Linked DNA regions of Danio rerio. The protein of the gene in region 1 purifies or fractionates together with the protein of each later gene. This does not show direct contact. Links are inferred from orthologs where the notes say so. Each region holds a gene or a part of one and is shown in the gene's direction. Other genes may lie near its edges.

Region 1 (4,285 bases):
GCACACCTGTGAAGTAAAAACCATTTCAGGTGACTACCTCTTGAAGCTCATCAAGAGAATGCCAAAAGTGTGCAAAGCAGTAATCAAAGTAAAAGGAGGCTACTTTGAAGAACCTAGAATATGACAGACTTAAAGTAGATTAACACTTTTTTTTTGTTATGTATATAATTCCACATGTGTTAATTCATAGTTTTGATGCCTTCAGTGTGAATCTACAATTTTCATAGTCTTTAAATTAAATAACTCTTTGAATGAGGTGTGTCCAAGCTTTTGGTTTGTACTGTATATTAAAATTAAAATTTGACATTGTTGTGCTTTGGTTTTTTACTAGGATGCAGCGGGTGCAGTGTCGGGCACTGACATGTCTCCATAATATCCTCTCCTCTATGGACACAGATTCTCTTGGTGGCGCTTCAAGTCTGCAGGCTGTGGCTCAGCACCTCTCCTCACTGGTCTTCAGCTCGGCAGGTAGACATCTCCGATTAGTTTTTATTCACTTTAAGCAGTGCAGTTGCTTACTTTCTGTTATTATAAATTAATTTCTAGAGGTTTTAAAGGATGAGGAGTTCCTGGAGGCTGTGACCAGTGCTCTCCGATCTCTGCTACAGATCATGGCTACCAAAAACATCTCTCAGGTGAAAACCACAATCTTCATTAATTCATACTTTAGTGAAAATATTTTAAGTGTCTGTTTTTTAAAACACTGCATTTTTTTATGAATTCTGCAGTGTATGACTCCACACCAGCTAATGGGTTTTTGTGAGGCTGCCACCAGCTGCGATCTGGTCAGTGTGAAGGTTAACGCTCTGGCCATTCTTGGAATCACAGGAAGCTCACTTGCCAAAGACAAAAACACAGCAGACACTCTGCAGGTAAATACTGATTGTTAGAATTTTACTGAAAGCTGCTTTACTACTCTGACAAACACACACACACACACAAAATGCTTTGCCTGTTTTGAAACTCTTTTTGAAACTGCATTGTCAAAAAATATGATGTAATTATTAGTTGATCTATTAAGTTGATATGTTGATATTGGGGAAAATGCACTTACTTGTATGGTATACTTAAAGGGATAGTTAACCCAAAAACAAAACACTTCCTCACCATTTTTCACAGTTAAATGGTTCTTTTATGACTTTTTTGAATTTATTTATTCTGTTGAACAGAAATCAAGATATTTTGAATAATGCCAACAAAAAAAAAACATTGACATCTATAGTAGGATCAGAAAATACTATGGATGTCAGTGTGTTTTTCACCAACATTCTTAAGAATATCTTGCATTATTTTATACAGAATAAATAATATCAAACCTGTTTGAAACAAGTGGAGGATGATTAAAAGATAGAATTTTCATTTTTGGGTGGATGAACCATCTTTTCAACTATGGCATATTCTATAAATGTAAAAACAAAAAAACCCTTACAGAGATATACACTAATCTATTCTACTACTACTAATACTAGATTGGACCCTCTTTTGCCTTTAGAATTGTCTTAATCCTTCGTGGAATAGATTCAACAAGGTACTGGGAATAATCCTTAGTGATTTAGGTCCTTATTGATATGATAGCATCACACAGTTGCTGCAGATTTGTTGGCTGCATATCCATGATGCGAATCTCCAGTTTCACCACATGCCAAAGGTGCTCTATTAGATTTAGATCTGGTTAATGTGGAGGCCATTTGAGTACAGTGAACTTATTGTCATGTTCAAGAAACCAGTCTGAGATGATTCACACTTTGACATGGCACGTCATCCTGCTAGAAGTAGCGAACAGAAGATGGGTACACTGTGGTCATAAGGAGATGGACATGGTCAGCAACAATACTCAGGTAGGCTGTGACGTTGACACGATGCTCAATTGGTACTAATGGGCATAGAGTTTGCCAAGAAAAAATCCCCCACAGCATTACATCACCACCACCAGTCTGTAACCCTTGACATAAGGCAGGATGGATCCATGCTTTCATGTTGTTGACTCCAAATTCTGACCCTACCATCCGAATGTCGCAGCAGAAATCAAGACTCATCAAACCAAGCAGCGTTTTTCCAATCTTCTTTTGTCCAATTTTGGTGAGCCTGTGTGAGTTGTAGCCTCAGTTTGCTGTTCTTAGCTGACAGGAGCGGCACCTGGTATGGTCTTCTGCTGCTGTAGCCCATCCGCCTCAAGGTTCGGTGCGTTGTGCGTTCAGAGATGCTTTTCTGCATACCTTAGTTGTAACAAATGGTTATTTGAGTTAATGGTGATTTGGTTTGAAGTGCAGAAGATCGTCTTGACCATGTCTTCATGCCTAAATGCACTGAGTTGCCATGTAATTGGCAGATTAGAAAATTGCATTAATGAGCAGTTGGACAGGTGTACCTGATTAAGTGGCCAGTGAGTGTATTTTGCTTGGATAACTTGAAAAGTTGGGTCATTCTAAATGCATTTTAACGTAGGCTATGCTTTTAGATATTTAAGATTTGTTTTAATTTTTATATTTGTTGCATTAGAGTAAGCTTAACACTGTTAATGTGATTTGTGTTGGGACAACATGAAGGAATAAAGTTAATTAGTATTAACAAATTTAATTGAACTGAACATAAAACTATTAAGTTGTCACTCCAAAAATCTCATTCAGCTCATTTTTTAAAAGCTTGAACAAACAGCAAATGTCATTTTTTGAGAGAATGTCAGCTCCCAACCTTAAAACAACATCAGAATATTATCATGGACAAAAATATTGCATACCTTATCTAATTTAATGCATTGTTTTTATTAAATATGTTCAGTAGAATGTATTCACTATTACAAATGGCTTCATTTATGCCATTATACAGCACTTTGATGTATATTAAATATTTTGATGTACAAATGAAAAATGTATGATAAAATATGCCTGTGCGTTCTGAAGTTAATCAGTGAACAGTGTTGTTGGAGTGTATTTGTCATCACATTGCATGTACAATTGTCCCTATTTCTTTTTGCAGCTGATTGGAAATGCATTACTAAATGTAGCAACAAAGGACGCAAACCTGGTAGTGTGTGGGGAAGCTCTTGATGCTCTCTTCGACGTGTTTGCCGATGGCGATGAAGCAGAGAAAGCTGCAAAAAATATTGACCTGCTTTCTTCTCTCAAAGCCCTTCAACCAGGGTTTAGAGCCAAGGTTTGTTTAAAGCCAACAAGAGATATTACCAGGAATATACAAGCGCACTCATCCATCACATTCACACGCCCAAGCTGTAATATTAAATCAGAAAAACCTCCCAATACATGTTCAGGCTTGAGCTCAAGGTTCAAGCTTGAGTTCTGTTGCATAAGCACATCTCTGCCTGACAGAAAGAAGCTCTGAAAACCAGCTCAACAGATCTGTTTTGGTTGGCTGATCTTTTACTTTATAACTCTAAAGTACTTTTTCAGCTGCTTTTATCCATTCACAGCATGGCCATTGCTGGATCTCTGTATGTTCTTCGGCCTTTAGATGGCAGGCTTTTCACAGTTTAACCGTTTGTTTCCTCACAGCTGCGAAAAGAAGGCAAAGGAAAATACAGCCCTGATCAGCTTTGCGTTCTGGACAACATAAGGATCAACCTGAAGAGATTTATCGGCTACTTGGAGAACCTGCAAAGAAAATGAGATTTAAGTGATCAGCAGAGCAACTCTTATTTAGCATTTCCTGTTTATAATCCTTTTTGGTTTTATTTTTATGTGAGAGTGTTTATGTGAGGAAATGAAGACATAAAATAATGTTTGTAAAACCAAACATATGAGTGCTTTAATTAAAGCATTAACTATCAGTATGGCCTCTTGTGGTGCTTTTAAGAATTAAAAGCACAGTTTGTCCCAAAAAATGAAATGAAGTTTCACAAACTAATTTCGAGAGGAGCATGTGATATGATTGATCGCGGCAGGTCTCTCATCTGTAATCATTTGTAAACTACTTGGATTATTCCAAACTCACTGTAAATAGCTCGTCTAGCATTACTCCCTCGCCTTTGTTTTTTGAAGAATCCCCCCACCCCACCCCCTTTCCTCCTTTACCAGGGGGAGCTCTTGAGAACTACCTGATCTTGTACCTCCTTACATGAGCCCTGAGCTCAGAGTTCTCTCCTGGCCTGGGACAGCATGCAAAACCTGCTTATAATATCAAGCAATATCTGAGTGTGAACTTTTGAATTTTTCATCATTTACTCAGCCTCCATTTGTTTCCGGGTTTCTTTTTTTGTTTAACACAAAATATATTTTGAAAAATGTTGCAAACTGGCAGCCGTTCACTTTCATTAGGATATTTTATTCCT
Region 2 (2,832 bases), on another chromosome or scaffold:
AGTGATTTTTTAGAAGTTGCTGAAGGTCAAAATACAACTATTTTACAAGAAGTGTTTTGTGAAAACTTGAGATGTCTATCGGTGCCAGTTTCAGACTGTTGTTGAATGATATTTTTTCTTAGTATTGATTGGGGCGATTATATTTTCACACATGGTATGAACCATTATAAGGGTATATTTATTATGTTATAAATTTTTTATTTTCAATATTTAATTAAAGAGCTATTAAAGAGCTGACCCCCCCTATTCATCTTGTTTTAATGTCCTTCAGGGGGGACAAAGAAGTGTTAATGAGGGGTCAATCCCCCCACCCTCCAACCCCCCTGTAATTCGCACCCTTGATGTTACCCACGACACTTTTATGGTACTGAAACAATCAATTGTTTTTTAATGCTAAAATTTTTGCCAAAATTAGAAATAACGTGTCGAATAATAATATATAAATGCTTATTAATTGTTTTTATTTTCACTTTAATTAAATATTAATGACACCGAATAATTAATAACAAGGAAAATGTCATGCAAAATGAGAAATAAAATGCTTACTTTTTCACATCAAAGGAACAAATCAGTAAATAATAATAATAAAAAATAAATAAAATTACGGGATATATGTATATATAAATATATAAGGGATATATAAATTACAAAAAATTGCATAAGAAAAATTATTTCAGAATTGCACACATTCTTATAGCTTTTTTATTTGTTATGTCTTGTAGGGTTTCAATATGCATAAGATAAGTTTTAAACAAATAAATATTAGGCTTATCATTGGATCAGTTTTGTTTGTGTACATGGTACTTCCCATATATTATCATTAAATTAATAAACAAATTTTGCTCCAAGGTTTAGTTGTTATTATTGAATATCAAAAAATATTTTTACAAGAAAACTGAATTTTTAATTTAGTAAGTTTAAATATAAAATGTTCAACATCAAACCAAAATATTTGGGTATATGTGCATTCAACAAACAGGTGTTTTATCGATTCCTTCTCTAATTCACAAAAAGTGCACGTAGATTCCATGTCTCTAAAATATTTTTAACAACTTGTTTCAAAAACGATTTTGACAAGCGTTGATTTAAGGACTTTTATTTTGAAACGATACATAATATAACTCATGTCCAGCTTCACAGAAGAAGTGCGCGATGCACTGAACTTGTATGGACATGGTGAGTTCATTCAAAACTGAAATAATATTTAATAATAATGCGCGTTATTTAATTATGCTTATGTATTTTCTATGATTATCGCATATAAGAAGCTGGAACGCATAATCTGAGCCAACACAACAACTGCCTTTGTCAAGCACTGTTTTTATCAACATAATAAACAAGGTCAAATAGTCAATAGTCATGATGGTTACATTATCAAAATATTTTGTGTTGTTTTAATAATTAACATTAATAATAACTACTGTTGTGATGCTTACTGTCTCCTCAGATGATGATGTCAACAAGATTAATCCACCTTTCCCGTCATTTCCCTCAATATGGCTTTCGATGCCATCCTTCAGGACTTATTTCAAGTGCTCGCATGCAATACAACATCAACAACGGCCTGGCACACATGGGTAAACAGATGCCCAACACATCCACACACACCACGCGGATTCACCCGGCCTCATTCTCCTCTGACCTTGCCTCAAGAAAATACAGTCTAATCTATGCATTTCCACTAATCAGGGGCCTGCGGGCTCTTTCAAGACTCAAACTCTTACAGACGGGCATCACTGTTGTCCTGCTGCCCACTGTGTATTACCTCCACCTGCAGGGCCAGGCATCAGTGTTGGTCTTAAATCGCTCAATAGGCATTGCCTTGTTTGCTGGAGTCATGCTGTACTCCATAAGCCACTTTGTCAGAAGAGTGGTTGGCATGATGTATTTGGATTCAACACAGACCATATTAAAGGTGTCACATCTTAGCTTTTGGGGTCACAGAAGAGACATTTATGTACCCGTCTCAGATGTTGTGACTCTGGGAGATTCAGGAGACTCCAGGGGAGAATCAATTCTTCGGTTAAAGCGCTACAGCACTTCTAATACCATGTACTTTTCTACCAGACTGGGACGAGTGGTGGATAGACACGCATTTGGGAAGGTTTTTGGGAGTTTGTCATGAATTTGTGTAGTTTTGTATGTCATGTCATATGAAACTTTCCCAAAGTGAGAAATTAAAGATCTTATGGTAAAGTTAAGTATATGTAGCTTTTGTTTTGTGCATTTTATTAATAATTAGTGATGTAACAGATCACAAATCTTACGGTTTGGATCATATAATGTTTTTTTTAGTCACAGATCGGACTAGCCAAAAAGGGGAGGAGACAAATGTCATTTCTTTTCCATTTTATTACAAAAACTGCACTGCAAGAAACATTTGGTTTCAAAAAAACAAAAGTAAGAACCCTTATATTTATAAAAAAAAAAAATGAAGAAATAATTAGCTAAATATAAATAAATGGTAAAATATTCAGTACTGTGGAAAGATTCACAATTTCTGCTACTGTTGCTGATGACACTAAATGTAGAAATCTAACATTATAATTTGTACAACCCATATTTATTTTTAGTCTCGTTTTCAATAAATGCTTGTTATTTACTCATAAAACTTCATGTTTCATTGCTAGATGGATCATTTTTTATTATTATTCAGTGGCATATTTTTGATGGCTGGTTGAATTCAACCTATTGGTTAAATAATGTAATTACTGCTTACAACCTTTATTTTTGAGCGTCAAGTTAAATGTATATGACGTTAATTTTAATTTTTACCATAAACATCAGTGGTTTATTCTAAACTATAAACTGTTATCCCAGTACTTCTGTGTT

Evidence for each region.
Region 2: the proteins of heatr3 (region 1) and tmem186 purify together in Homo sapiens (co-immunoprecipitation; 3 studies listed by BioGRID and IntAct, counting the BioPlex papers as one, with this or other methods). This does not show direct contact. The link is inferred for Danio rerio from reciprocal best matches to the Homo sapiens genes HEATR3 and TMEM186.

Annotation. Positions count from the first base shown.
Region 1 is NC_133182.1:38,112,178-38,116,462, reverse strand, and holds the end of heatr3 (HEAT repeat-containing protein 3), read left to right. Parts: intron 1-331; coding exon 332-468; intron 469-546; coding exon 547-635; intron 636-728; coding exon 729-872; intron 873-2,976; coding exon 2,977-3,153; intron 3,154-3,509; coding exon 3,510-3,623; 3' UTR 3,624-3,784; downstream 3,785-4,285. UniProt on the Homo sapiens protein: Plays a role in ribosome biogenesis and in nuclear import of the 60S ribosomal protein L5/large ribosomal subunit protein uL18 (RPL5). Required for proper erythrocyte maturation.
Region 2 is NC_133197.1:27,568,346-27,571,177, forward strand, and holds tmem186 (transmembrane protein 186), read left to right. Parts: upstream 1-1,144; 5' UTR 1,145-1,167; coding exon 1,168-1,176; intron 1,177-1,265; exon of another isoform or gene 1,266-1,341; intron 1,342-1,447; coding exon 1,448-2,125; 3' UTR 2,126-2,330; downstream 2,331-2,832. UniProt on the Homo sapiens protein: As part of the MCIA complex, required for efficient assembly of the mitochondrial complex I.